Regions from separate parts of the Mus musculus genome. Here region 2 is reported to be linked to region 1. Evidence: microRNA targets listed by miRTarBase, many of them from high-throughput screens and not tested one by one. Region 1 holds a microRNA gene; the other region holds the end of a gene's coding sequence.

Region 1 (15,922 bases):
GTAACTAAGTAACATCACATGTGAGCACCATGCATTCTGGCTTTGAAGTCCATTGTCTTAATCTTTGCACCATAACTCTTTTCTTCTTCGATTGTAGAACTTACCACACTTGGAAATATTTGCATTGTGTACGTGTCTTCTCCCATGACTGCACCTACACAATACCAATTGCAGTACACTGTAGAGGTTTGTTGGACTTAATTCTCTGTGAAGCTAAAACTGCAAAACAAAAGGGGAGCCTCTTAAAGGGGGAAAAGTTCTATTGAATTCCTCAGTAGATGTTTCTAAGCAGGAAGTGTTCTGACAAAATGGAAAGGGGAGATGGAAGGAAAGAATACATAGAAAAGGCTATGAGGAAGAAAGGGGGAATGGGAAGAAAAGAGACAGGGGAGACGGATGGCTCTGCATTTAACTCAACTTGGAATATTAAAAACATCTCCCTATAAGCATTTCTCTGTGTGTTTTACCACAAGTAGGGGAGTCAACTGCTGACTGATGACAAAAAACTGTTAGAGATCCTTGGGGTGAAGCCATTATCTAATCACAAGTATTTAATTGTTATATTTATAGGCTACTACTGAAAGAATATTTTCAAAAACTAAAGTTGTAAGTGGAAAAGGGGCAACACAGTCAAGTGTGATGGTTATCAGTGACTTAAAAAGTTCTAGAAGATTGCTCAGTCCCCATGTAAAAATAATCGTTAATGAAGATGTTCTCCAGTGATAAATGACACTCACAGATGCCAAGAGTTCTATTTTTATCCAACTCATTTTGTTTCATGATCTAAAGTTTTGGTCCATGTTGTCATAGTTCTACAAGATTAATGTAAATATTATTATTAAAGTAACAATTTAAAAAATAATAGAAGTATTAATATTAAACACTAGATATAACAAGATGAGTACAAGTGTCAAATAAGTTAACAAATATTATAATATACTAGAAACACCCAGTAATGTCTATTGTCCAAACTGTAAGTTCCTCAGTGCCTCTGACTATGGTGTCATCTGGTTGAAGCAAATTTTAAGGTCACAAAGACATTTGTAGAGTCCAAAAGGTAATTTTTCCACCTGTTCTCCCTGATCCAGGAAGCCGCATACTTTCATTCCTGGAAGAGCTAAGGAAGAGATCACATGTCTCCCTTAAGAACTCATTTCAATGCTCGCTAGTTTTACTCTATACTTGCTCAAAGATATAGATCCTTCTTTTTCTTTTTTTTTAAAGATGTATTTATCTAATATATGTAAGTACACTGTAGCTGTGTTCAGACACTCCAGAAGAGGGAGTCAGATCTTGTTATGGATGGTTGTGAGCCACCATGTGGTTTCTTGGACTTGAACTCAGGACTATCCAAAGAGCAGTCGGTGCTGTTAACCACTGAGCCATCCATCCAGCCCCTGCATCCTTCTTTTTCATGGGCAAATGTTCTGCTCCCTGAAGAACCTGGAGAATGTTCCCCTCCTTCCACTCCCTCTGCCTGAGTAAGCTCATAGAGGCCAACAAACTACACAGAACAATCCTACTCATCCGCAACCTGCAACTCTCAGCGCTCTCGTAAGTACTGCAAAGTGCTCCTTCCTGTGTGTATCTAGTAAGCCTCTCACACCTAATGCTGTCATATACTGGGCAGTGGTCATATACTTGGGAGGCAGAGGCAGGCAGATCTCTGAGTTTGAGACCAGCCTGGTCTACAGAGTGAGATCCAGGACAGCCAGGGCTACACAGAGAAACCCTGTCTTGAACAAAACAAAAACAAAAACAAAACAAAACAAAACAAAAAAGTATATTACAGTCAGAGATGAACTGCATGCATCTTATAAGCTTGTAATGTACATATATTGTGTAAATTATTGTAGGCTTAGATGTTTTAAACCCTACATTTAATAAGGGTTCTCAAACACTTCAACCCCCTTCTAGCCCACGGTCTAAAGCTAAGGGAGAAAAGACCGTAAATAGAAAAAAGGGATACAGACCTGTTTAGATGTAGTTCTTTTAGGTGATTTCAGTCTCCATTTGTAAGGATTACAGCAGTCCAGTTCAGTACTGTGAGGACACCAAACATGAATCTGAGAATCAGCAGTGGAGGCAAGATTCAGCAGCAACAAACAGGCCTTTATAGGAGCAACCAGAATCAGCTGCTCCACCAGGAGAAGTTCTCTGCCTTGCCTCTCTTAAGAAGTAAAGATCAGCAAAGACATGAGACCCCCCAAAGAGTTGTAAAGGTAGCTATGCAAGCATGCTGTCATTGTCCCTTGAGACCTGTTTATACTCTCTCCAAACATGATGTGTCCTCCCACAGCCTTGCCTCAACAAAATGCCACGTGAGTCTGCATCACCTGACATGTCCAGAAACTTCCATTTCGAATTGCCATGTGCTGCTTGAGCTTGCTGAAAATCTAGCTTCAGACCTAAGCATGTTTGTCCCAAACTATCTTTGAATGCCACTTGTCTACAGATGGGCTACCTACCCCTCAATCTGTTACAGGGAGGAAAGAGAACAGAAAAGCTGCTAATGGTATTAACAACATTATGTCCTTAAGAATAGCTATCGTGCAAACGATCTCTAACAGAGGCTGCTCATGTTGTGAAAGAGGGGAGGATAGTGGCAAATTCATCCATAGGAAACTCATCTTCCAAGGCGAAGCTCAAGTGAGAGCTCCAGCTGACTGCCTCGACTTCTCCAGTTTTTGCTGGATGTTGCGAGTACCAGACCCGATTGTACCTATCTGGTGTTATTTGTTATTTTGCTTGAAAGCCTCACCTGAGGCCACACTCTGTTCTGATCAGGATGTAGTCTCATTCAGGAAATCCAGGTGACAGTAATTCAGGATAGCCTGGGCTACTTCTGCTGGATCTTTGTAAGCCCCTAGTTTGAAGATGTTCCCCCTTTGTTTGCTCGCTCAATTGAGCAACTTCAATCATCTCTGCAAGAGAGTGTGAACATGGGATTCGAAGATGTTTTGCTATCTGCTGCCTCTCTCTACCTACCATTATGTATTCTTTTACTTGCTATTAACTAAATAGATTCACACATATTTAACTGTTACCTTATTGCTTGGTTTTGCCCACGAAACAAGTTGGTTGTAAAACAGAATGCCGCCACATTATGCTAGAATAGCCTTTGCACCTCGTGCTTATTGTATTGCTGGTGCACAGTGGTTTCCCTTGAGCTTTAGTCAGCTTCCTGTTGAACTGGTTGTTCCATTCATTCTGCTACTAGAAAGAGCTGGCTACCATATATGTATATAAGAGGGTAACCGTGTATGCTAGGAACAACTGGTATACCCCACAACCCATGCGTGTAGGACGGTAATCAAGTATGTTTGTGTATGTGCTCGCCATGCTGTTCATGTGATGAAATTCCCTATTTATGCGCTTTTAAAAACAAATCTCTGCCACTGAGCAGCAGGCCAGTGCAACTTTGTTTGCTCTCTTCTTGTAGGAAACCACAGTACTACTTTCCACCCAGTACTTGGACCACAAAGCATATAGATTCCATGTTTGTCTTCATATTTGCTCATCCCCACACCCGAGTCATTCCAAATCTTTCTGGCTTACATCAGTCTTTGCTGATTTTGATTATCAACCATACTATATAATACACTCTCCAGGGAACAGTGAGAATATGTTTTCCTAAACAGGAAAGACTTGGAGCTTGCCACTTTCCATTTTCAATACTTTAATTAAACTTCTTTGAATAAGAAAATATAAGCTCGCCGGACAGTGGTGGCACACACCTTTAATCCCAGCACTTAAGAGGCAGAGGTAGGTGGATCTCTGAGTTTGAGGCCAGCCTGGTCTACAGAGTGAGTTCCAGGACAGCCAGGGCTACACAGAGAAACCCTCTCTCAAAAACAAAAACAAAAACAAAAAAAGCTCTTTTTACCTGTCTTCACAGCTAAACTGACATCACTAACTGCCATTTTTTCTCTTTCAAGTTTTTTCCTTTTGTTCTCAGCTCTGCTCTGTGACCTTTGACCCACTGTCAAAGGTAATAATCCTCCAATCTTAGCCACTGTCATGATCCTCCCTGTCCACCTTTTGCATGTTCACTTCTATCATTAGTTTGAAGTTCATGATCATTCATTATAATATATCCATGTATATATCTCCAAATCTTCTGGGCTTTTCATGACATTATTATATGATTTTTGGACTACAGATATATCGAGCCAGACTTGTAGCTCTCAAGGTGGGCATGCAGACCACTGTATCTCAGGCTTACACCATAGGTTGGACACTCCTAGAATGTGTGCATATTGGAGGCAGTTGTTTGAACACCACAGGAGTCTAGTTGCTTACCAGAAGCCCTCTGCATTTCTTTGGACCATCCCTCCTTTACTCTTCTAAGCTATCCCAGCTTCATCTTGTTTTTAGAAAACAGAATAGATCAGATAAGACATCATAAACTTATACACCTCCCCCCCAAGCTGTGTGAATCTGTTGATCCTGTTCCCTCTACTACATAACTTCAAACCAACTGCCATTGTCTTCCCAAAACCCAAATACTCCATGTAGTACTCTTATCTCTTATTTCCTCCCATCCACTTGAAAGCTTTGCTGCTTTGCTCCATGGTCCTTCCCATTTACTTCTTACATGAACCTTTTCCTATACCATATCAGTGTGTTATTTCTCTTATTAAACTAAGAACTTTGCTTGAGTCCATATACATCTCTACCTTGCTCCATTTCTCATCTTTCTTCTACTACAAAATGCTATTTTCTCTTTCATTCTTTGAGCCCACCTCTCAATGGTGCACACAGTTATAAGAAGCAATGCTAGAGGAGGGATAATAGTAAAGTGTACTTGATGTTCTTGCCAAAGACCCTGGTACAGTTCCCAGCACCCACATTACGCTGCTCATAACCATTTTTAATTCCAGTTCTGTGAGACCTGATGCCTTCTTCTGGCTTTCACCATACAAGGCATACAGCTGATACACACATATGTGTGTGAAGGAATCCATGCACACATACAAATTTTAATTCAAAAATTTAAATAACAAAAAATAATTTTCAACTCCTAGAATTTATTTTTTTTAACTTAGCTTCAAGCAGGGATTGAGACTATTTTTCATTCCTTTCTCATTCACATTTTATTTACTTAATGTCTGGCAAACTGATTTTGCCTGACTTTCCTCTTATCTCCCTGGCCACTCTTTCTGACTCCCTATTATTATCGGCCCTCTTTTCTTCAACATATTAATGTTGATGTATGCTGAGGCTGAGGTTTCTCTTTCTATGCTCACTCCTTTGATGATCTCATCCGACATCCTGGTTTTATACATCATCTGTAGGGCTGGCAATTTGCAAATTTATATCCCTAGCTGGGACATTTCTGTTGAACTCCAGATCCATACACCCAAACACCTACTCCATAACTTCACTTATGAATGTCTAACAGGCAATTAAGACTAATATCCTAAACCTAAGTGCTTCATCTTCCCTCTCAGCCCATCTGCCCTATTTTTGTGCATATGGACTCCATCTTCTGCCTGCATTGAAATCTCTCTTCCTATTAAAATACCCACCCATCTGTCAGGACACCAAGCTGCTGCTGGGCCCCTACCAACTAGACTTTCTATTTCTCTGCCAACAACAGCACCTTCTGTGTAGATTATTGAAACAGTCTCCTAACAGGACTTCATAGCCTTAATGGGTGTCCCTTTAGAGTCTCTCTCAGTGTATCAGCCTAAGTGGCCTTGCTAAAATACAAGAAATCCTAACACAGCATTCTAATTGCAACCCATTTCAGTAACAGGAAAGCCAAGTCCGACAGATTATCTGCAAGGCTTTAGAATAGTGGTTCTGAACCTCCTAAGGCTGCTATTCTTTAATACACTTCCTCATGTTGTGGTGACCACTCAACCATAAAATTATTTCCATTACTACTTCATAACTGTAATTTTGCTATTATTACGAATTGTGATGTAAATATCTGTTTTCTGATGGTCTTCGGCAACCCCTGTGAAAGGGTTCTTGCATGCCTAAAGGATCATGACCTACAGGTTGAGAACAGCTGCTTTAGAATATCTGTTTCCCTCTTTGTTCTTATATCCTGCTACATCAGACATCCTCGCTCACTTACGTGTAGCCAGTGAGTCTTAGGATTGCCAAGACACATGAAGAGTGTCCTTACTATAAGACTTTTGTTCTTGCATTACCCCTTTCTATTTTAACATTAAGTTGGCTTAGACCTTTATTTTCTCCAGGATTTTCTTAAATATCACTATCTAAAATAAAAAATCTTCCTACAGCCAATGTTATCTAGTCCTCTTCTTTCTGCACTTTTGTTCTATGTATCACTTACCAACTTTGGTCACTTCTGAATGAACTTTTATGAATTTTTCCTGTGTGTGTGTCTGTGTGTGTGTGTCTGTGTGTGTGTGTGTGTGTGTCTGTGTGTGTGTGTCTGTGTGTGTGTTTCTCTATTCTAAATGCAGGAAGAGTAGGTCTCTCTTGACTCCCTAGTCAATTTCCTCTCTGTAAATTAAATATACATTCTAAAGAATAATTTATTATTAATAACTGTTACCATTATTATTGCTGAAGAGAATATCTCATGAAATTTAAGTTACTTGCCTAAGTTTATTCAGCCAACAAGAGTCTGACTCACAATTTAAATCTAGAATATCAAAGCTTATATAGAGAGTCTCGTTTGTAAGGTATACTGTCCTAAAAACATGTTGTTAGATACTTAAATTGTAATGTACTAATTGCTTACTAGATGTTATATTTGAGACCCTTGTATCATGTTCTATGATCTCTCTGCTTTGACTCATAATAAATATATTTTTGTAATTATAGTCCAGAAATATCATCTACCTACTTATTAATGTTAAATATTTAGTTAACTTAGCAACCCTGTTACCCTTCCTACTCTATTTATTAACCTTATAATTACATTGGAGAAATTTAGACTGACATTTGTCTTTCACAATCAACAAAGATCAGATAGGCACAGATTTGCACTTTGTACAAAATTAATGTAATTCACACATTCATAAACGTATCCAGACTTTATCTGAGTAATCGTTAAAGATATTTAAAGATGTAGTCCAAAATATCCCAAAGCCCTAGGCTCCCTTCACCCACCACTAGATTGATGGTATTGATTTCTGCTCCTCATCAAGGATTCACTAGTGCAGAATCTTGATGACATCCCATCTGCAAACCACCTTGGAGCGGACCAGGGTTAATGCACTCCCCTCTGGTCAGATCTTTTCCTTTCCTGCTTTATGCTCGGCACTGATTCCCTGACGTTTGGCTAGCCCTGTATATCCTGGAATACAGCTGCCCAGACAAATACCTTCCATCTCCTAGAAAACGAAAACTTTGAAATAATGGGAATTCCTGTGGTCTGGAATAAATAACCATTTGCTAGGTGCTGCATTCCCCCCACTGAAATATATGCCTATGTGCTGAGTTTTGAGAGAAAAACACCCTCCTAATTCTTTGTTTAAATGCTGAAGAAATCTCAGTCTGCTATTGTTTTCTCTCTTTGATTTTAATGTTGAGCTCTACACATGCTAAATGTAAATATCTCCATGTAAAGTAAAATACTGTGACACTTTAATGTTAGTTTATCAAGTAACAGAAAGTATAGGGACTACATTAGGACTCTTATGACAGAGTCCTCTTATAGTTGAAAGGAAAAAGAGTTACAGCTCAGAAAATAGAAATGGGAAGATCAAGACATAAATCTGTTCTTCCTCCTGGAGGGGACAGTAAGCATATATAAAAAGAAGAAAAAAACCCCAACATAGTTAACAATAAGTGCTACCTAATAAGTGTAATAATAGTGATATCTAAGGATTGGAGTGCTTTGAGATACCAGTATCTTACTGCTTATACCAGTATCTTATACCAGTTTTTAATGAAGTTAGATATCATGTAGCCTTGAATCTCAACAAGCAAGCCATCATAAAAGCGAATATTTCTATTTCAGACACACTCCTAGAGACACTTTATACCAAGACCCGCCGATTCACTAGTCCCTCTGAAGACTGTCTGAGATTCGCATCCTGGCTAGCTCTGTGCAACCTGCTTTGCAGCCATAACATATGGCTACCTCATCCACAGTGTTCTCATCCATACCCTCAGCTGCTTATCAGACTCCATCTCTGTCACTTAAGAGCTAGGTTGAAGGTTGAAACTTCCCCTAAAGTCCACAAGAATCATTCACCTGATGTAACTGTAATTTAGAAGGTTTACTACTGAAAAAGCTCACTCCTTCCTAGTTCTTTCTAAGCTCTGACTGGCTGGTTCAACCCAGCTGTTCTGGCTCAAACTCCTCTCCAAGCTGACTGATTCAATCTGGCTTCTCTTGGCTTCTCACTGAATTGCTCTTCTTGGTCTTAAACTGACTCTGGCAATTTGTTCTAATCTTCTGACTCTTTCATATTTTCTGACTTCAACGGCCTCTGCTGATCTGCTCTGAGCTGCATGAGCTCACAAAGGAACTCAACTCCAGTGCACTGCACTCACTGCACTGACTCTCAACTGACTGACCAAACTGTCTGAACTCTAACTCTTCTCTCTCTCTCTCTCTCTCTCTCTCTCTCTCTCTCTCTAATTCTTCTCTCTCTCTCTCTCTCTCTCTCTCTCTCTCTCTCTCTCTCTCTCTGTGTGTGTGTGTGTGTGTGTGTGTGTGTGTGTGTGTGTGTGTGTCTCATGCGCGCACACTGATCTTAAATAGCTTTTCTCCTGACAGTTGGGCGTATCCTATCTCGGACTCATTTTGTCAAATCTTTCTGGGATTCCTCACTTTGTCTGCCCCTCAAATTGGACATCATTATTTGGGATTAAAGATATGTACTAAAGGATTCCAGCCAAAAGGAATAAAGATGTATACTAAGAGTGTGTCTGTATTCTAGCCAGATCACACAGACCTAAAAGTTCTTTTGATGTGGTAAGAGCAGCCATGTTGCTGGATTAAAATTCCTTGACCCTCTTCTACAGAGTCCTCACTGCTTTTCCTTACAGCAGGCAAATCAGGATCTGTAAACCCAAGAACGATGTCTTCCATCTGCACACTGATTTTACCATAAACAGGGCTTGGAAGGGATGGAATCCCGTGTTCTAGTCTCCTTTTCTTTAATCTACTCTTACAGATATATTTTCTCTACACAGTTATAAAAACCTATGAAGCAGTTCTTCCAGGACTGGATTATAATAGCTTAAAAGGAGAAAATAAACTCAGCAAGCCCCTCATGGAAGAAGAAAATAAATAGTCTTACTTTAGAATTCTATTTTGCATGTCAAACGCGTAAGGAGTTTGCATTCTTCCTCTTTGTTTCACTAACATAATAAATCTTAATTTTCTTCAAATGACTCAGAAGAAAAATAGGACAAAGCTTGCTTATATGATAACATAATAAAAGTTAATCACATTAGTAATTTTCAAAATTATCTCAAACGTGAATATAATAAAGTAAAAGAAATGACCTAATAAATGGCTTAAATAAATACATCTCTTACCTATAATAAAAGTTTTTGGGAGTGGTGTATATATCACTTATATTTATATATAATTTTCATAAAATGCAATGAAAACTGAAGGGAAGGCATATTCTAGTTTTCCCAGAGTTACTTAAATTTCAAAAATCAACTTTTCATGTTGACTTTCATGTCCCATATTCAACATTTCTTTTTCCTTTTTAATAATAGCTTGAATCTAAAATTTCTTTCCAATTGTTCCTTGGCTCTTTCTTACCACATTATACCCACTTAAAAGTTTCTGTTCCATTTCTTAGAAAATATTATATTAATGGAGGGAATCCAGGCTCTGAGAGCCTAAGGTCCATGTTTTTTCTTACATGTGGATCCTACCTTTTATTTTTAGGAACTACTCCATCCACTCCACTTCAGATACCTAAGTTCTAAAGAGTTGAAGGGGTATGTCAGTTTTCACACCAAGCTCAACTCTCCCCAAGACTTGGCTTCTATTTGACGAGAGAGATAAGGAGTGGTTAGAGTACTTTGTATTTCTCCATACGTAGAGCATATTAGTGCTTCAAATTCTAAAAACTTAATCTGGATCAGTGACACCAAGGGAATTAACTCAAACAGTTTATGGAGGTTACACAAGCCAGATTGGTCCCTGTGGAACATTGGGAAAGACTTCAACCATCTCCGATGCTATTTGCCCAGCTCCTATCAGCTCCTTGCTCTCACTGAAGTTGTCTAAAAGCAATTGGCTGTAAAAAAGAAAAGATCCTATATAAATACCCATGTTATTTTTTCTATTTCCTTCTTCCAAGTACATTGGAAAGGACAGGATTTCACACAGGAAACACTTAATGATAATATTTGGAAGAAACCTGCTGACTTCGTAAGATGCAGTTGGCCAAAATTCAGCTCAGAAATACCCAGGGAAGTAAAAGCCTACTAGAGTTACCAAAATGAGGTTTCTGCAAGTAAGGAAGTTGCCCATAAAGGGCAGGGCACAGTATCACTTACAAAGGGAAAAAAGAAAACATTTGCAAAACGGCGAGCAGCCCATGGTAGGGGGCACAGGTGTGCCACAAAGCAACTAAGGTATCACTCTACAACCAGTGTGGTCAATCAAGATTCTTGGGTCAGATGGTGGTGAGAAAGGGAGTCAGAAAAAAAGAGAGGAAGAAATGAAAGAAAGGGGAAGATGAAGATGAAGGACCACAGGGAATGACCATGTAGAAGGGAATTCAGCAAAATAGAATAGACACCTCACAGTCATGGTGATTCCCTGAAATGCAAACTGATGGGATTCTAGTGGAAATGCTTACCAAAGGCCTTGCAGAATGTTCTTCCAGGAGTCATTTGCATTATTGATAATTGTAAAGTGCTGCGCTGAGAGGATGAAGTCCTTACTTCTTTGGTTTCATAAGGGCACAAGTACTAAGGAAGATTTGTATTTCTTGCTTCCTAAAGAAATATGAAAGAAATGAGTTTTTTTGTTTTGTTTTGTTTTGTTTTGTTTCTGCTTGTTAAACTCACCAGAGAACAAATTCCAACTAGGCAACAGCGCAGGTTGGATATTTAGACTATTAATATTAACCTTTGTCGGTGATGGTAGTTTGGTTAGGTTCCAGATTCCTTAAGACTGTTTTTTCACCACATAGCCCAGGCTTGCCTTGAATTCATTATGTAACACAGACAGAAGATATCATATTCTTATAGGTTAATAAAAAATAACTTAAATGGCATCCTAAAATCACATCTAACCTGGTAGAGAAATGACATTTCCATATGGAAAAGTTGTGAGATTTTATAAAAGCTACATCCTGATGGTAAGTGGAGAGCCCCTTATTTTCCCAACCCTACTGATAGCGAATACAAGGCTCAGAACTAAATATGGGAGCATCAAGATACTTCCTCATGGGTCCCACGAGCCAAGGAAGAGAAGGAACATGAAACAATGCTGGTAATTCATCAAAACCTATAAAGATGTGCCCACGATGGTCTAGGAGCAGAGAGCTGGAATTTTACTTCTGGAAGTTTCAGAGTGACTATAGAAGGACATATGCCTTCACTTCAACTAAGAGCAGGAGAAATGCAGGTCCAATGTAGGAGTATCAGCAACGTATGTGTGGGATGTGGATTCCCAGTGACCCTGGCTGGCCCCGCAAACCTGTAGCTAGCAGCGTCTGAAACTGGCCCAAGGCCCAGGCTTACAGCTGACAGGTGTGTATCCAGAAAGGAAGGCCAGCTCGATGTGAGATTTCACACGCTTCACTCCTAAAACCCTTTTCCTAATGTAGATCTCAGATGTGCAAGTCACTGCCTGAACTAACTCCTTGCCAGGAGAATTAATTATGTTGGTAAGTGCTCATCACATAGCCAGGAAGTGACTGCAAAAGGCTTCTGAAAGTCAAAAGGAATTCTCTGTAGTCCTTTTTGAACCACTACATGGCATTACATTCAAAAGTTTTACTAGTAGTTTACAAAACACAAAAATTTGTGTTTTGCTAAATAGACCTTAGACCTATTCTATTTTGTCATAATAGGCACTGAGTGAATTAGGCCAACTACATAAAGCAAGAATGTTCCTGTGTCCTTTTGGAGGATGAATCAAGAACCTTAACCACACACTTTGGCTAATATGAATGAACCCAAACTAAGGGACTGGGGTCCAGCTCACTGATACAACACTTGCTTAACATATTCAGAACTCAAGGTCCAATCTCTATTTTATTCTTCTAGGTATATACTCAACACACACACACACACACACACACACACATACTCACATATATAAAATCATAATACATGTATTATCATTATGTTTGAATGTAGTGTGTGCCATCAAGAACTACATGAAGGCAGTTGTGTAGGCTTAGTGTTTGGCAGAGACACTGACGTACTATTCATCAGGAAGTAACCGTCACTGGCTTCTATTCAGGGAGTAAAAACGGAAGGGATATTGTTTTTCACAGAGTTCCATCAGTATCAGTCACACACTGTGAAATGTCATCCAATCATTTCCTGCCTGATAATGCTTGCTAATACATATTCCCTTGACAGGGCTGAGATATTCATCATTTTAGAGGGAGAACAGAACCCAGAACCAAAAGAGAACTGTATCTTTAGAGTTACAGAACACGCCCTGGCTTTCACTAGGAAGACCCAGGATTTGAAGAAGTTGTGTAGCCTAAAAGGCCATGGTGGAAAATTAGAATATAAAGATTGTGAGAGATAACTGTAATACACACAAGAAAACTGAATAAGACAAACTACCTCTTGCCACCCTGTGAGAAGGAGGAAGAATGGTTTTTGGATTTAGAATTGCTACTATGGATGAAGTAAAACAGGTTAAAATCTTAGCACAAGATCCATTCCCTTCTCCAGTTAAAATTCAAAGGCTAGAGATGCATAGCTAGGTCTGTGACTCTCATACCAGAAAATTTTAAACTACCCTGTACTGTCTACCAAATTGAGGGATAGGCACAGAGAAGAGAAGGTAGAACTACGTCATTATTCCTCTGTTTGGGTTTTACTTTCCACAGAAATCAGTGTTTTGTAACTCTAAAGATATGGATATCCTCACCATCATGGTCACTGTCACAACCACCACCACCACCACCATCATCACCATCATCATCTTGCTCTATTTTTTCTCCCTCCACCCCGATAAAACACACCTTCTGTCTTCATGTTTCCATCTAAAGGTATTTACCCTAAAGCAACATGACTGTTCTCTCTCCACCTCTTCCTCCTTCTTCTCCGTTGGAAGAAATGTGGCTTATTTGGCTCCTGAATTGGCAAATAGGACAACACTCTGTACTTGTGGCTTTTCTCCAGAAACTCTGCCTTGACAGCAACTTAAGAGATTCTATGGCAATGCCAGGTAGGAGCTATACAGTTACACATGGGTACTCTCCCCATATTAAGAGCCAGAAGCAAACCCATCATTTTGTGATGGTAATTAGCACTTTGTTTACATTGGATCATTTAAACTTTGACAGCGAGGTCTCTTAAGGGTCTTTATGTTCAGAAACAGACTGGTTTTGTGAATTTAAGTATACTCTTACTTGTAGAAGAGGGCTATTGGATTACACTAACTAATTGAATGACTACTCATAACACTATATTTAATGACAAATCGAATGGTATCTAATAAAAGCCTGGAGTTGAATGCACAGTGGTGAAGTCCATATAAAATGAGAGAACAAGCAGTTTTTAATTCTAACATTCTTACCACAGCCATAACAGTCTTTCATGTACCCTTCCAAAAACCTATGTAATACACAGTTACTCAATTTTATTTGGTCAGAAGTAGTCATTGTCTACAAATTATCATCTGACAAATAAGGGAAAGTATTTTAAAATTTTTAAAATTTGCATTTATGTATGGTCAAGCTTCAGAGACACAAAATACTATAAATTATAAATGCCTTAAAAGTCATTTTCGACTTGTATGACCAAAACTTCAAATCTTTTTAAAAAGAAATTGAAGAAGATACCAGATGATGGAAAAATCTCCCACACTCATGGATCAGTAGGATTAACATAGGAATAGAGGTATATATCCAAAGGATGCTTCATCCTACCACAAGGATGCCTGCCCCACTATGTTCATAGCAGTTTCATTCATAATAACCAGAAACTGTAAACAACCTAGATGTCCCTCAACTGAAAGATGGATAAAGAAAATGTGGCACATGTACCTAATGAAGTATTACTCAACTGCTAATATATATATATATATATATATATATATATATATATATATATATATGACACCAAGATATTTGCCAGCAAATGAGATAACCCAGACCCAAACATGGTATACACCTACTTATAAATGAATGTACCTGTTAATTAGAGGATAACCACACTACAACACACAGACCCAGAGAGACAGCACTTAAGAAAGAGGATATACCATATTTCAGTTTAGGAAAATCTTACCACACTGAGCTCATTAGAACTGTGCTTTCAATGAGTCAAAGGTTTAAGCATATCTGGCCAGCACACAGCTCATTGTGAAAATGTCTAGGTATTATGTGGAAGATGTGTAATTTGAGCTACAGCATTCTTTAAAAGAGGTATTTTATAAAATTAATGGGAATGTCTAACCCACTTCCTATGTTTTTCCCAGCAGAAATATCTAGGAACCTGGGTTCCTGGGATGATGCATATCCTCGCATCCCTGCTGACAGTGAGAAGACTAAAAGTGTCTCCAGCAAACTCTAAAGGTTCAGGACTGACCACACCTTCCAAATATGACTGTGGAATCTATGTGAAGATAATATAAAGTGAGCCCCCACATAGAAGACATGAAGACTGAGGACTCAATTTAATTCCTTAAGGTAAAAGCAAGATCCAATCTCTTCATAGCTACAGCTCAACTCACACAGGATGTACAAGTGTAAGGAACACATCTGGGATTAATAATTAATTAATTAATTAATTAGAGCTCCTTATAAGCAATAAATTTTTATGTAGTCCATTAAATATCCCAAACAACATTAACTTACTGTTGAAACATATATGAGAGTGCTATGCTCAGCCTTTTATAATAAAACAAAGATACAATAATAAATCAATTGACTCTGTATATTAAAGTGTTCAACTAAATACCACATTAACTTCTTTACTGTTGTAGTAAATATATTTACATACATTTATATTTATATATATATATTATATTTTTAATAAATATATATTACTCAGTGTGTGTGTGTGTGTGTGTGTGTGTGCTATCTTCATCTTCACACCTCCCTTCTTGCAGTATTATTTTTTCCAGAACCAGTTTTTGAACCATACTGTCTCAATTCAGATCTGGATTCTGCCACTCAGCTGTGTCTCCATTTCTCAACCTAGTTTCCCTACCTACCCCTCAAGATGACTCATACAAGCTGATGATTATAAAGAGCTTTAGAGTGCTCCTGGGACACAGTGAGTGTGCAGCACATTCAAGTGGTTGTCATAGCCTGCAGCATCAGCACCAGCACTGTATTGCTCTGCACCCACTTCCTTTGCTATCCTCTCAAATACATGCTCTCAAGAGACCATTTCTGCTGGCCTTGTTTGCAGTATAGGAACTGCAGGTGGAGCAATGCCGCTGGTTTTTCTCATCACCTCCTCACTCCTCCCCATGGAAATAAGAATGGTGTATTTCATTGGCAAGTCTGATAAAAAGAACCTCTGTCCTCGTGCAGAGGTCTAACTTATCCTTCTGTTCACTTCTGCTTTGAAAACCATTAACAATACCAGTTAGTGGATGAAATGTTAGTAAAATGGTTTTAAATAAAAACTCAAGTGCTATTCTTCAGGCACTGTTACCAGTAAGACCATTTCCAAGACCAAGTGACTGCTGTGTCTAGTTCCACGTTGGATCTGGAGTCTACAGGGGAGGAGTGATGTGACACATTGACCTTCTGTGACCTCAGCACTAACCTGCACTCTAATGCTTTTCTTTCTTCTACCTGCTCAACTT
Region 2 (15,922 bases), not on the chromosome of region 1:
TTTATCTGCTGAGCTGTCTTACTGGAATTTACTACATTTTTAAATAAGCTTATTACAAAGCCAGTAGAGTGTTGAAAGGGCAGGTGTTTAATTTCCCTTTGGGTTATGGTGAGGTTAGACTAATCTTCTGGAATCCTAAATGTGTGACTAAAGGTTTGCAAACAGGTTGTGGGGGCTCAGTGCTTCAGGAAGATGGGATAAACAACGGAGCTCAAATAATCAATGCCTGTATGCAAGGTAAAACGCAGACGGAGCTGCAGGCTGGCTTGAAAAAGGCCACCATGCTGGCCACCATGCTAAGAGATCACAGGTTCTAGTTCACTCCTTTTACAGCTGAAACCCTAATCTGTTCCTAACCTGTCCCAGGACCTTTGATCTCCCCAAGGAAGCAATATTCTCCTTAATAGAAACACAAAGGTATCAGACTTCCCAACTCAGGGTATCCAGAGTTGTTTTGCATCTCTCTCTCCCCTGTGTGTGTGTGTATGTATGTATGTATGTATGTATGTATGTATGTGTATGTATGTGGGCTGTGTGTGTGTGTGTGTGTGTGTGTGTGTGTGTGTGTGTGTGTGTATTAAATGTCCAAAGGTCCACAAAACAACCTTGTTTTTACAGACAGGGTAGATGTGGCCTGGAAGTTGCTGACTCAGCTAGGTTGGCTGGCCATCCAGCCCTAGGGATGCACCTGTCTCCCAGTGCTGGGATTATAAGTACACCACCATGCTCAGCTCTTTTTCCCCCTCTACATGGGTTTTGGAGATTGAACTCAGGTCCTCGAGCACTGTACCAATTGCATTCCAGTGTTTCCAGAGCACTGCCTAAAATTGGGTTCTTGAGACCCCCTTCCTCAGGGCCAAGCCATTTGCTAGAGCATCTTGTTAAATGTGCAGACAAACACTAGATACCCTGAGGCTTGTTATAAAGGATAGTTCTAAGGATGCAGATGAGCAGTCAGAGTCTCAGGAGGGTGGACAGTGGAGGTGGGGTGCTGCTCGCCCAGGGATCGGAAAGTTCATTCTTGATTCCCTTCTTGTAATCCAAGCGCACAGTTGTCATGGCGTAGACATGGACTGCGGTGTGAAGATGCAATTGAGCAGACAGAGTGTGTTCTCATGCTGATGGACAGGATGGGGAAGTCTGGAAAGCCTTTCTGTTCAGACGCTTCCTGGTCTCTCTCTCTGTAGCGTACTTTCCTCAAGTCGTTGGATCCTGCCTTTCAGAAACAGGGCTCTTATGGTCATTTACAAGACGAGATCAGTCAGAGAGTTTATGGCCAGCTCCAGGTCAGAAGTGGGAGAAACATGAAAGGCTATACCTCCGAGGAGGAGGTTCTGGTTTCAGTGACCTACCTGTGACTGTGGGCATGAGCCTGGAATCCAAGATGAAACATGCGTGGTAACCTTATGTTAGTTGCTTTTTTCCCTCACTGTGACAAAGCAACTTCAGGATTCACTTTGGCTCACTGAGAGTGCAGTCCGTTTGGCAGGGAAGGTGGCAGGAGAGAGGCAGCTGACACTTTGTATCCGCAGTGAAGCAGAGAGAGGTGAATGCTGATACCCAGCTTACTGTTGCTTTTTCATTCCGTCTGGGATGGAAGGCGGTGGGATTGTGCTGCTTCTGTTTGGGTGGGTCTTCCCTCTTCAGTTAAACTTTTCTGGAAACTCCCTCCCAGCTATGCCCAGTAGAATTTTTCCATGGTGATCCTAAGTTTAGTCATGTGGACAAGACTGACTGCCACAGTACCATTACATTCAGTAGCAGATGTGTAAATTGGTTTTTATTGTCTAAAGGTGGGTACTGCACTCAACTATGTGCTGGCATGTGTTGCATGGAACTCAAAAATATATAAATAAATAAATACAAACAGAAACCAAGTGATGAGATTTCCCATGTGTGGGGGATAGTTTTATGTCAACTCGATACAAGCTAAAGTTATCTGAATGGAGGGAACCTCAACTGAGAAAATGCTTCCATAAGATCTGGCTATGGGACATCTTCTTAATTAGTGGTTGATGTGGGAAGGCCAAGCCTATTGCAGGTGGGGCCATCCCTGGCCTGTTGTTCTATAAGAAAGCAGGCTGAGCAAGCCATGGGGAGCAAGCCAGTAAGCAGTATGCCTCCATGGCTTCTGTCTCTAGGTTCTTGCCCTGTCCTGACTTCCTCCATGATGAACAGGTGAGTGCCGTGGAGGCCTAAGCTGAGTCGTCCTTCCCTCCCTAAGTTTCTTTGGTTGTGCTGTTTCATCACAGAAATAGTAACCCTAAGATACCACGTATGGAATTCATGAGGGCTCTTTTAGATCAATATCTTGGTCTTATTCAATGCCCTTAATAAGTAATTATCTGTATGTAGAAATGCTTCTTTCAAAATAACTTAGTGTGTATGTGTCCATGTGTGTACATGTGTGTTGCAGCCATAAGTCAATATCAGGTATCTCACCTATCAATCTCTGCCTTGCTTTTTGACATGCGATCTCCCACTGAACCAAGAGCTCTCTGATTTGGCTAGACTGGGCAACTAGCAATCCCAAAGACCCTCAGTCATCTATCTCCTAGTCCTGGGATTACATGTATGCACCATCCAATCTGGCTTTTAAAAAAACCAAAAAACCAAAAAACATGTGCTCGAAAGTTAAACACTAGTTCTCATCCTTGCCTAGCAAACACTTTACAAGTTTAACCCCATTTAAAAATAATTTTTATTTTCTCCCTCTCTGAGGACATCTAGTGGGCACATTGAGAAATGCAGCCTCTCTATCTCCAAACCCTGTGTTAGTCAGGACTGGGGTTCATTCCCAGCAGCTCCAGTTTGTTAGCCAGGATCCCCTTCTCTAGCTAAGCACAGGTGATGAGTAACTGTCCTGGCTGCCCATACTTCTGGCAGATGGTACTGAGATCTTGGGGTCCCAGTTACGGAATCTGCAAGCAGGCCAAAGTGTTTTTCAACGTGGCCTGATGGAACCTGGGTTTGGGATTTTTCAGCAGAAATAAAAAAGAATATCCATGCTTGTCCTTGTGGAAGGCTGACCTTAAGTTTGGAAGCCACAGGATGCAGCTTGGCGTACGCTGTGTACTCTGAGCTCCTGCTTAGGTGGTGTGGGTCAGATCACCAGAGTCAGGCAGAGCTGCACTTGGTGACAGGAACATAGGGCTGAGTGTTAGAAACTGACGCAGGGAAGTAAGTAACATTATTCATTGAGTTCATTAAAATTATAACAATTGAAGGCACACATTATGTATTTGGGACATGGGTGGTCTCACGTGACCTAGGCTGGCCTTGATGCAGCCAAGGCTACTCTTTAACTCTCGAGCCTCCTGCTTCTAGTACTGTAAGTCCAGTGCTGAGATGATGAAGGGCAAACAGTACCATGTGGGGTCCTAGAAACAGATTTTTCTGAAGTGTCCAAGTTCAGCATTTAAATATTAGTACCTCATTTACAAAACTAGTAACATTTCTATAAAAGCAAGGACACTTGGCAGGCATAGTGGTGCATGCATGCCTATAATCCCAGCACTTGGAAAACACAGGCAAGTGTTTCTCTCTGAATTCAAGGCCGGTTTTGTCTATATACATGAGTTCCAGGTCAGCCAAGGCTAGGTAGAGAGATCCACCCTCAAATAAATAAAATCCTTTTCTTTCCCTCACTTTGTGGACACACCATGAGAAACGCTTATGCGCAGGCTGAACCTCCCCCCACCCCGTGTAAAACGCCCAATGACGAAAGTCTAGATCTGGGTTCTAGAACCTTCATGTTACCCAGAGCAGGCCGGCGCTCACGCTCTCCGTCTTCTACCCTCAGGTTTCTCCTGATGTACTCCACAGCTCTTTGCAGTTATTACAACTCAGCTCTGACCACAGCGGTGGTTGGAGCGATCAAGGTAAGAGATGGAGCCTTGCGCTTAACACCAGGGTGGGAACCAGATGGAAACCATGTGCTGAAAGCTACTTTTTGCTGAGGCTGTGACTCTAGGGGGCGCTGTGTAACCCTGCTGCTGATCTTGAGTGAAGTTGCTAACCCCCAAAAGAAAGTGTTTTATTACTTTAAAATTGGAGGCAGGTGAGGGCATAATTTGGGAAAAACAAGTAACAACTGGAAAGAAAAATCAAATATCTGTGATCACTTCGTTATCTGGAATTAGTTTTGCTGGGAGGACCTGCCCACTAAGAAGACAAATCCTTCTGAAGGAATGTTTTTAGTACTTCCACTCTATGATAAAGCAGTGACATTGGATTGGTAGGTTGGTGCAAAGGAGTTTGTGTCTGCCTGTGTGCATTTGAGGACACAACTATTGAACAGAGAGTGGTGGTGGTCTGAATTCTAGTCCACACTATTTTTCTCTTCACGTAAGCTCCTAAAGTGAGTGAGAAAACCTTACTTGCTCCACCCGGTGGCTTCCTCAAATGGCTTGCATAGAGTTCTACTTAGAACTTAGCTGCCTGCCCTATTCAGGTTAGGGGTGATAGGGTTAGAATTTGGTGTGCCAGTGATGATATAAAGATGGAAGCAGCAAGCAAGCAAGTTACAGCTGTACTGTCCCACCTATTGCCTGGAACTCGGGGAGGGTGAACAGTACAGTTTTCAGTAACTACATTTTAGTTATAAAATGTATTTGCTTATAAAGCCATATGTCATTAGGTATTCCATGCAAGCCTCTATGCAAAGTAACCCAGCATCAGGCCTCAGGTGTCACGTGTCTGCCTTTGCCCTGAAGTTCCTTACTCTTCAATGATGAGCCCCCTCTCTTTGCAGAATGTATCGGTTGCCTACATTGGGATGTTGGTTGGTGGAGACTACATTTTCTCCCTCTTAAACTTTATAGGGTTAAATATTTGGTAAGTGAGACTTTTAAATGAACTCACAGTAAATAAGGGATTTAACATGATCACTTGGTATATAATAAGCAAAAAAATCAAAGAGAAATGGTTTTACTAGTTGCCACGCTCAGGATGGAACCAGGGCCATGTGCATGCCAGGCGAGTAAGTGTTCTGCCACTGAGCTGCATCCCCTGCTCCAGGCCTGTTGTATTTGTGACCTTCATTTTTTTCACGTGGTCTCTGGGGACATGTGTCATAAAGAATCTCAGGGCTTAGGCCTAAATTCAGTTCAAACATCTTCCTCCCACTGTGTGGATCTCATTACCTGTAGCCTTTTGAAGGGCTGCGTCTCAAGGATGCTGTTGGCACCCTGATGTTTTTAAACACACTTTTGGGTTCTAGGCCTGGGTGTTAGTTGTACAATCATTACACTTTACTTTATCCAGTAAAAATCGAGCACTCGCTTTCTTTTCCTGTCTCCAAACATTTGCAGAGAAGAAATTTCTCAATCTACCTACCAACCTGTGAGGGAAAAAACCCCCAGAGATCTTAATAGTTGTGTTGAAATCAAGCTGACTGCAGTTATATTGTATTACATTAACAGTGCCCATAGGATTTTTTTTAACCCCTTTCTCTTCTCTCTTCAGCATGGCAGGTGGTTTAAGATATTCCTTTTTAACACTCAGCAGCCAGTTGAAACCTAAACAACCTGTGGATGAAGAAAGCATCCCTCTGGATCTGAAGAGCTAGGCTGAAGACAGAGTTGCAGGCCTAGGCTGGAAAGAGCAGCCTCAGCAGGAGTGGGTAGACCAGAGGTCCCACACATGGGGCAGTCACCTGCTTGGTCAGAGCACAAAAAGGAATGTCTTCGAAATACAAAGAAAGCTACCTCACACGTCACTGCACAATGAGCCACGAGGAACCCACGACTCACAGTACAAAACCTTCCAACTAAGTGAATTTGCTAAAGTCATCCACAGGGCCCTCACTATGTGCTGGGGAAGATGTTTCAAGGGTGACTTTGCTTATCAGCACTGTGGCCTTAATTTTAAAGGCCTCATCCAAGGAAAAAGGGAAAACTTTTTGTTGTTGAACCATCTCTTTGTCTTTGTAAGAGTCATTCAGTTTTGAATGTGTTGGTATTTTTTTTCCAGGTCATTACAGTGAAATAAAGTCCTGTCTATATATGCCGCACAGTGTGATATTACAGTATGATAGAAAATAGTTAGTTATTCAGTGTCCAGGAATATTCCTGGGGTTGAGGTGTATAGAGTGCTCACTGTACTCAGGAGACAAATGAGTTTGATCTCTGCACTCATATAAAAAGTCAGGCATGGAGCATATCAATTATCTCAGCTTTGGGTAGCAGAGACAGACATGTCCTGAGACTCTGGCTTGCCAGCCAGTCTTAAATGGCAAGCATCAGGTTCAGTGAGAGACACTGTCTCAAAGAATAGGATGGAGAGTGACTGAGGAAGACACCCATCATTAGCCTCCGGTCTCCACATACACATGCACACACATACATACATGTGTGCACACATTACTCCATCTTTTTTTTTAAAAAGATTTTATTTATTTATTATATGTAAGTACACTGTAGCTGTCTTTAGATCTCATTACGGGTGGTTGTGAGCCACCATGTGGTTGCTGGGACTTGAACTCAGGACCTCCAGAAGAGCAGTCATTGCTCTTAACTGCTGAGCCATCTCACCAGCCCACATTACTCCATCTTGAAGGAACAACAAGATAGCCTTTTAAGGACAAGTGTTGGAAAAACTTTGCAAAAACCCAAAGCCATCAGTTCATCTCCGTAGTCTTAGACATTTGAATGTGTGGTCCCTGGTTGGGTGGCATTGCTGGAGGAAATGTGTCCCTGGGGTGGGCTCTGAGGTTTCAAAGTCTCCATCCATTTCAGGTTTGCTTGCTCAGTTTCTTGTTTGTGGTTTGACGAGCTCTCAGCTGTTCCTGCCACACTGATCTCTCTGGAACTGTAAGCCCAAATAAACTCTTCTATACATTGACTTGGTTATGGTTTTTGGTTTTTTTTGTTTTTGTTTATCACAACAGAGAAGTAACTAGTACAAATGGCTCATCTGTCTTGTTCTGCCCAGCTCCCTCCAGGTTTGTTCAAGGGATTTTGAAAGTTAGATGTGTGTGATAAGTACTTACAGAGTTAACTCCCCAGCCCTGCCAGCAACATCTAGGTTTCTAGAAGTAGAGCCAGAGGTGGTAGCAACTGAAAGAATGTTTCCAACTACTTAATACATGTGTGTGTGTGTGTGTGTGTGTGACAGAAAGAGACAGAGACAGACAGACACAGAGAGACAGACAGACAGACAGACAGAGTATGCACCATGACTATGGCAGTAAGAAGAAAACTTTGTGGAGTTAGCTTTCAAGTTCTTTCACTTTTCTGTAGGTTCTAGGGATTGAACTTGGGTCAAGTGCCTCTTCCCACTGCCCTCTTGTCAGACCAATGACAGCCTCACTGTGTAGTCTGGCTCTGTTGGTATGATGAAATACCCTGATAAAAGCAACTTAGTGGAGAAGCACTTTGTTTTGGCTTACAGGTCTAGGGAACAGTCCACTCTGAGGAGACAGTCATGATGGCAGGAGCTTGAGCTTGTCATGTGTCCATAGTCAAGGAGCAGAGAGCGATGGATGGAGGTATATGGCTTGCTCGCTCCTTTTTACAAAGTCTGGTACTATAACCCATGGAGGGGTGCCATTCATATTCAGAGTGGGTCTTCCCACCTCAATTACCTTAATCTAGATGATCCCTCACGGGCACGCCTTGTCTCCCAGTTGACTCTAGATCAACGTTGAGAACCAAGTTGACAATGTTAATGGTCTCAGAATCCTGTTTTGCTTACTTGCTCACCTGTTGACGGACCCTTGGGATATTTCCATCTTCAGGCTTCTGTGAATGATGCCACTGTAAATATAGAAGTACAAGTACATCTCCAAAGCCCTGATCACAATCACAGCACTCAGGAGGTTGAGGCCAGTGTGAGCTGTGCTGAGTTCAAGGCCAGCCTGGGCAGCATGCCTCAAAAAGTAGAAGATCCTGCTCTCAATTATTTGGGATTTATACATAGTAGTAGAGTTCTGATCTTATCTTTTTTCAAGATAGGTTTTTTTTTTTTTTTCTGTGTAGCCCCAGCTGTCCTGGAACTCACTGTGAAGACCAGGCTAGCCTTGAACTCTGAGATATGCCTGCCTCTACCTTCTGTGTCCTGGGATTAAAAGTGTATGCCAACATACCCAGCTGTAGTTCTAATTTATTGAGGACCTGATATATTGTACTTTTCCATAGCTACTGTCTCCTCATCTTTCACAACATACATTAAAAAAAATTTTTTTTATTAGTAACCATCTTTATAGAGGTTTGGCTTAGACCTTCCTTCCTTCCTTCCTTCCTTCCTTCCTTCCTTCCTTCCTTCCTTCCTTCCTTCCTTTCCTTTCCTTTCCTTCCTTCCTTCTTCCCTCTCCCTTCCTCCCTCCTTTCTCTCTCTTTCTTCCTTTCTTCCTCCCTCTCCCCATCTCTTTCTTCTTTCTTTCTTTCTTTCTTTCTTTCTTTCTTTCTTTCTTTCTTTCTTTCTTTCTTTCTTTCTTTCTTTTCTTTTCTTTTCTTTTTTAAAAAAGATTTATTTATTATATGTAACTACACTGTAGCCGTCTTCAAACACTCCAGAAGAGGGCGTCAGATCTCGTTACGGATGGTTATGAGCCACCATGTGGTTGCTGGGATTTGAACTCCGGACCTTCGGAAGAGCAGTCTGGAAGAGCAGTCGAGTGCTCTTACCCACTGAGCCCCAGCCCCCTCCCTCTTTCTTTCTCTCTTTCTTTCTTTCTCTCTCTCTCTCTCTCTCTCTCTCTCTCTCTCTCTCTCTCTCTCTCTCTCTCTTTCCTTCCTTCCTTCCTTCCTTCCTCCTTCCTTCCTTCCTCCCTCCCTCCCTCCCTCCCTCCCTCCCTCCCTCCCTCCCTCCCTCCCTCCCTCCCTCCCTCCCTCCCTCTTTCTTTCTTCCTTCCTTCCTTCCTTCCTTCCTTCCTTCCTTCCTTCCTTCCTTCCTTCCTTCCTTCCTTTCTTTCTTTCTTTCTTTCTTTCTTTCTTTCTTTCTTTCTTTCTTTCTTTCTTTCTTTCTTTCTTTCTTTCTTTCTTTCAGAGAGGGACTCTATCTAGTCCTGGCTGGCTCGAAACTCCCTATGTAGCCTCAAACTCACAGAGATCTGTTTGCCTCAAAATTCCTAATGCCGAGATTAAAAGCATGCACCACCAGGCCTGACTCTCCATTTCTTAATAATGTTGCCTCTTTTGTTACTACTACAATTTAGAGTGTTTTGTTTTAGAGACAAGGTCTCTGGTCAAGGATGGTTGAATTTATGATCTCCTCTTCCATCACACAGTGCCGGGACTAGTTACGTGCTTCTACCCCTGGTTTATGTGGCTATCAAATCTAGGACTCATGTCTGTTAGTTGGGCACTCTTCCAACTGAACAGCACTCTTTACTTTTTAAGACTTCTAGAACATGACATCGGGGGCTCCCAGACTATTGTTAGAACATCCTTTAGTGTCTCTTCTGAAACCCTGAGACCAGAAACCACTCACTTAGAGAAGTGAAAAACAGTTTTTGCTGTCTTTCAAAGTTGTTTTCCTTATCTCTAAGTTTGATTCTTGGAATTCTTTCAGAAATGATTTTAAGACTTTTCCTCCTCTTCCACATTTGGCCAGCAGAGGGCACCCTAAGAGCAGCATTTGTATCTGGTTGGAAAGTAACCCTTTTCACTCTAGAAAGGTACCTAGGAAATGGAATCTCCAATCAGTGTTCTGAATTACGGTAGGGAGTGGGGTGTTGAGTGCATGAGGTGGCAGTAACTTCAGCTGAGGAATTGCCTCTATTGGACACTTCTGGGAAGCACATTCTTAGCTTTGGGTAAAGATACTTGCTCCACAAATCTGAAGAACTGAGTTTGCTCCTCAGAACCTATGGTGGAAGGAACAAACTGGATACTAAAGGCTGTCCTCTGACCTCGACATTAGCTCCAGAGACACTTGGGCCCCTTCCTTTGGCTATCAGACTATTAAAAGAGTGATCCTCAGCGAATTAGAATTTCCCTGGGAATCACATGTTGGAGAGGAAAAAGCTGAAGCCAGCCAGAGGAATTTGTCTCCCAGGAAGAGATTTTACGCATATATAAGATGAGGACCGACTTGCCCTGGGCAAACTCTCTGAGACATTATTCTGAGCGCTGGGCAGAGTGGTGGTCTCACACACTAGTTAGGCCACCTTGCAGGATAGACTAGAGCCCAGACAATGATGTGTCCAGGCTGGGCAGGATCACTACGTAACCAGGACTTCTTACCTATGTGTAATCCTTGCTCTCTACTTAAGAGTAAACCTGCTGGAACTGCTGAGATCAGCCGGGGAACAGTGGAATGAAGAGGCTTTGAGGATTCCTGGCTTAGCCCCACTTCCTGTTCTCTGTCTCTCTCCAGTTCTCACCCAGTGTGTGAATAAAGTGTGATCAGTCTGCTTCCTGACTGCCAGGCTAGTATCACACTCCTGCCTGTACGTTTTCCCTGCCATGATGAACCACAGCATCCCGTCTGGAACTGTAAGCCAGAACAAACCCTTTCGTCTCTGGATTTCCTTTTGCCAGGGAATTTTTATCACAGTACCGGAGAAGTAGCTAATACAGGCTTCACGTGAATTGTGTGATTTCAAACATTTGCGATGTCCGAAAGAAAACACAATGTCCATAAAAAGAAAAGAGTCCTGGCTTAGTTATGGTTTCCATTGCTGTGATTAAACACCACGACCAAAGACATTTGGGGAGGAAAGGGTTTATTTAGCTTACTCTTCCACATCACTGCCTGTCATCAAGGAAGCCAGGACAAGAACACAGAAAGGACAGGAACCTGGAGACAGGAGCTGATGCACATGCCATGGAGGGGTGCTGCTGACTGGCTTGCTGCCTAAGGTTGCTCGATCGGCTTTCTTGAAGAACCCAAGGTCACCAGCTTAGGGATGGCCCCATCTACAATGGGCTGGGTCCTCCCCCATCAATAACTAATTAAGAAAATGCCTTACAGGCCTGCCTGCAGCCTGGTCTTATGAAGGCATTTTAATGGAGTCTCCCTCTTCTCAGATGACTTTAGTGTGTGTCAAGTTGATGTAAGACTATCCAGGACAAATCCCAGAGAGCTCTTCAAAGGAGCTGACACTGCTCGAAACAATTTGGAAGAAACACTCAGGGACACTCTTGAAAGTTGTGCTTCTTTTTATTTAGAACAACAAGCCAAATCATAGGCCTTGAGCTTTGCAGGGGAAACCAGAGAAAATACAGCTAAGAAGAGGTTTCTTAATGTCTGAACAAATTGGTCTCAGTCAGAAATGAAATGATTCAAGCCAATAAGCATAGCACAATTATAAAGTACGGCAGTCACCTGGAAACTGGAGCTGGAGTGTGTGGGGGGGCATTTTATACCAAAAGACACAGAAAGTTTGTAGCAAAAAGCAGGAGCGATGTGTGGCGTGCACACCTCTAATCCCAGCTGTTCCAGAGGCTAAAAGAGTGATTCAGAGCACTAGTGAAACAGTTCTTTGAAAAGTTAAAATTGGCCAACCCTGAGACAAATTAAGCAAAAAGAGGGAAGACCTCACAATTTAAAATTAGACAAAAAGGGGATGTTAAGCAGATATCACTAAAACCCAGAGGATTATTGAGATTTTATATTCTGATGAATTATAAAACCTAGAAAAAAATGAAAAAAAAAAACTTTAGACACATGCTGTTTCACCTACAGAGTTGAACCAAGAGAATATAAGCAATCCAAAAAAATGCCAGTGAGCGATGAGACTGGAGGGGTAATCGTCTCCTGACAAAGAACATCAAAGTACTAGCTGGGTTTCGTGCTGAATTGTACCGTATCTCTAAATGCACACCATCCCACCAAATCGGGAGGGAAGGAATGCTTCTAAACTCATGGCAAGAAGCTAGCTCCACTCTGATGCCAAAACTGGGTGGTGATGTCACACAAACAAGCTATAGACAATTTCCCTGATGAACACATATTCAAAAATCCTCAGTAAACGACAGATTAAGATGGTAAAACCGCAGGAGCCAGAAGGTTTCACTCCAGGGGTGCTGAGATAATTCAGTGGGTTCAAATGAATTAATGTAATACAGCATGGTAGTGGAATGAAGACAAATTGCATAATCATTTCAACGGACATAGAAATGCTCTTGACATGGGCTGGAGAGATGGCTCAGCGGGTAAGAGCACTGACTGCTGAGTTCAAATCCTAGCAACCACATCGTGGCTCACAGCCATCCTTAATGAGATCTGATGCCCTCTTACGGTGTGTTTGAAGACAGCTACAGTGTACTTAGATATAATAATAAATTAATTAATTAAAAAAAAGAAATGTTTTTGACAAAATTCAACATCCTTCAGGGCTGAAAACCACAATTAGGAGCAGCAGGATCAGACCTCCCCACGCTGACACCTGTCTGTGAGAACCCAGCAGTGAATATTATACCAAATGGGGAAAAGCAGAAAAGATTTCTTCTAAACCAGAGATGAGAAAGAACGTCTACTTGGTCTACTAATTAGTGATCACAATAAGGTCCTGAGCTATGTTCTAGTATTTTCTTCCTTCTTTCCTTTTGTTTTCTTCCCCCAGATAGTCTCAAGTAGCCCAGGCTGTCCTTAAATCACAACATAGCCTAGGCTGTCCTTGAATTCACAACGTAGCCAGTAATAACCTTGAATTTCTGGTCTTCCTACTTCCACTTCTCGAATGCTGTGATTACAGCTGTGTGCCCCATGCCTGGTTTATGCAGTGCAAATGATCAAACATAGGTTTTTGTGTGTGCTAGGCAAACACTCCACCAACGGAGCTATGTATTTAACCCTGGAAAGTATGGTCTAAAAGTGAGTTTATCCTTTTTGCTTTACTTTTGGTGTTAATGAGTTATTGGGTCATCGTTTTGGCAACAGTAAATTCCTCGAAGGCCTAAGTGGCTTGGAAACTTTGAGTGTCTAGTAGAGCTTCCTGCATGAACATATATGTAAATCAGGAATAGTACCAGGAATAGCTGGTGTAGTTCAGGAGATAAATTTTTAAATTAAGTTATATTAAATTTAAATATAACCATATATAGTGTTGGTGGCTACTGTGTTGTTTCTCCAATGTCTTTTCTACTTCTTGTCCGGGAGTATCACACAAAGTTTAATATTTAACAGCTCATAATCAATTTACTAAAATGATTAGCTCAAGCTCAGGTGTTTGCAATGGTGACTTTAATATCTATCTATCTATCTATCTATCTATCTATCTATCTATCTATCTATATCTATCCATATACATACATATACATGTATATATATACATACATATACATGTATATATATATACATACATACATATACATGTGTGTGTGTGTATATATATATATATATATCTTAGTTTGTATAATTTTTTTTGTTTGTATGTTTTCAGGGCTGACCATTTGGTATTAGATAATCAATTGGTGTGCTCTTCCCTGGGGAAGAGTCCTTATTAGTTGCTTATAGTTCTTGTGTAGGGTTGAGGCCTAGTGGACTATCCCAGGCTTACTTTGGCAATGCCTACTGATGTTGTCCTTGTTTTGCCAGTCATGCTGGGTGAGACTTTATGGTGTAGCTTTTGACATTAGTAAGGAAAGACTCTTTCCAAGTGGCCAGTGTTTTCCTCTGAACACTGCCTTCCCATGGGACTGCAGGACTTCCCACAGGCTCCATCGCCTCCCACATCCCCACCACGCAGGGGATCAGGCTTTTAATGCAGAGACCTCCTTTGGAGATCAAGTCACAAGACCAAGTCTCTTTGGAGACTCCCAGAGTGCTCTGTTTCCTCTCTCTGGGTTTCACTTGTCTTCAAGTCTACTGTCTTCTTTACCCAGTACCTCCACAGCCACAGAAGCCCTAACCATGCTGTAAAGATATTATTAAGAATACTTGATTCAGATGCCTGCGAATCACAAGGTTACATAAAGAAGTTCCTCTAATCTAAATGCTCCCAGATACATGGAACACACCCAGAGCCTCCTCAGAGGAGATCTGGCGGGCACCCAGGCCACTTGCCCTGGGAATCACACGGGGATAAAGACCAGGTCCAGCAGCATCTCCAGCAAGACAGCTCCAGAGGAGGCCATGGAGAAGCTCTTCATTGCTGCAGGGCTCTTCGTGGGCCTGGTTTGCCTGGTGAAGTGCATGAGGTTCTCGCAGCACCTTTTTCTGAGGTTCTGCAAGGCTTTGCCAAGCTCTTTCCTGCGATCAATGGGACAATGGGCAGGTAAGAAGATTCTCCCAGTCTTATTCTCTTATTCTTACGTCTCAGAATGCCTCTGTGACTCCGCACAACATGTAATGGTGTGACTAGACAGCATGTGTGGAACTAGAACTGTCTGGAAAATCAAGGTATGGATCAGGAGATGGGGAAGGGGACTGCCCCCCAGGTTTCCCTCGTGTCTGTTGCTTTGCTAGATTTACTTCTTTTTGGAGTCTTTCTAATAATACCAATAATAAACCAGGCAGAGGTACCGAGTTCTCACCTATAGATTTCCAGATTTCTAAACTCTTGGCTGGTGTGCTTACATTTTATTAAAGGGAGTTTCAAAAAATTTTTTAATCCAAATGTTAATTTATTTTTTTAAAAATGCATTCTGTGCCTCTATTCACTAAACTTGGCAACTTTGTAAACTTTCTCATGGATTTTTTTTTTTTTAATGACCATATGAGAATTGTTTAGGATGGACCCATGGATTTCTAACGGATGCTTCTTACACTTCCACTGCGTATGCACACGTGTACATACGTGTGTATGAATATATGGTATGTACACACGTGTGTTTGCTGCTTTTATTACTTACTAAGCCACTGAGCTTGTGTATTCTGGATCTGAATACCCTACCAGGCACAGTCAAATGCCCGAGTATCTGTGCAGCTAGAACCCTGCACAGCTGCCGCCCATGAAATGCCCGAGTATCTGTGCAGCTAGAACTCTGCATAGCTGCTGCCCACGTAGCCCTTCTAAGAACACTCCCCAAAGAGCAGTTAAGATGCAGCCAGAAACTCTGTGGCTTCAAAGTGAGAGGTACAATGTTAGCTTGTTTGAGAGTTAGGAATGAATAAGATAACCATGAGGAAATATGCGATGTCGTCAGGAACAGACAAACCAGGGAGGGAACAGATTTCACATAGAGAACAGGAAACTCTGGGAACAAGGCTGGAAGATACCCAGAGAAAAAGTATACTGATATCTATGCTCAATAAACGTGAATCTTTTTGTTATTTTTAAATAAAAATAGTGGGTTTTAATGAACATTTTAAAAACTGTGTCTAAAAAAAAATGTGTGCCCTTTAATGCTTGGTGCCAAGGTCAGCTGCAGGTAGGTATATTTGTGGTGACTTGTGAAACTTGTAATTGTGGTCGTCTGTCTCCAATTTTGGAAACGAAGGGCTTGAAAGCCTATGAAATTGTTGGGTACTAGTAGATAGTGGTATTGGGGGCTAACTATCCAAGGTCCTCAGGTCCCTGCATCCCCCATACACATTCCTGTATCCTCTTTGCCAGGTTCCCTATCTTCCAAGGCATTGAGGGCCACGGACCTATGGGGTGAAGGAGGGGAGGGGCCAGATTGCACTTCTCAGAAGGAACCCTGAGGTGTTCTTAGGGTGAGCAATGGGCAGGAATGAAGCAATGACAGTGTACATGCTTGCCCTTGAGTTGCTAAGGTTGTACTGCCCCAAGCCTGGATAAAATACTTGTTGGCTTAGTGCTTGGCTACATTTCATAGTGTGTTTTCTAGACTCACAGATCCCTCCAAAAGCGCGCACACACACCCCCACCTACACACACACACACACCCCAAAGACAAAACAGAAAAGCCCTTCACCCTTCACTTGCAGTGTTCTAACCAGGTTACCAAAGGCTGGAAACCTTGGAGTGGAGCAACGTGGCTTTGTGGTATTGAGCATTCTAGACAGAGATATACAAGAGACTGCGAGAGAGAGGCTTGAAGATGTGTCCTCTTGTTTCAAGGCTGCCACT

What was found. The annotated mature microRNA mmu-miR-710 reads CCAAGUCUUGGGGAGAGUUGAG and lies in region 1 at 9,920-9,941, opposite strand. An mRNA with a match to its seed (bases 2 to 7 or 8) in the 3' UTR can be bound and repressed. Matches are read on the target gene's strand: a 7mer-m8 pairs with bases 2 to 8, a 7mer-A1 pairs with bases 2 to 7 and ends in A, and an 8mer does both.
Region 2: the mRNA of Slc35d2 is a reported target of mmu-miR-710. Seed matches in the 3' UTR shown: 7mer-A1 at 6,474-6,480.

Annotation. Positions count from the first base shown.
Region 1 is chr8:64,504,482-64,520,403 of GRCm38, forward strand. Mir710 (microRNA 710) reads right to left here and starts at 9,960; the gene lies at 9,851-9,960.
Region 2 is chr13:64,087,229-64,103,150 of GRCm38, reverse strand. It overlaps Slc35d2 (solute carrier family 35, member D2), which reads left to right. Exons shown (of 12, transcript NM_001001321.3): 10 at 3,803-3,881; 11 at 4,754-4,836; 12 at 5,467-6,841. The coding sequence ends at 5,569. Hsd17b3 (hydroxysteroid (17-beta) dehydrogenase 3) reads left to right here and starts at 13,950. Exons shown (of 11, transcript NM_008291.3): 1 at 13,950-14,164. The coding sequence starts at 14,023.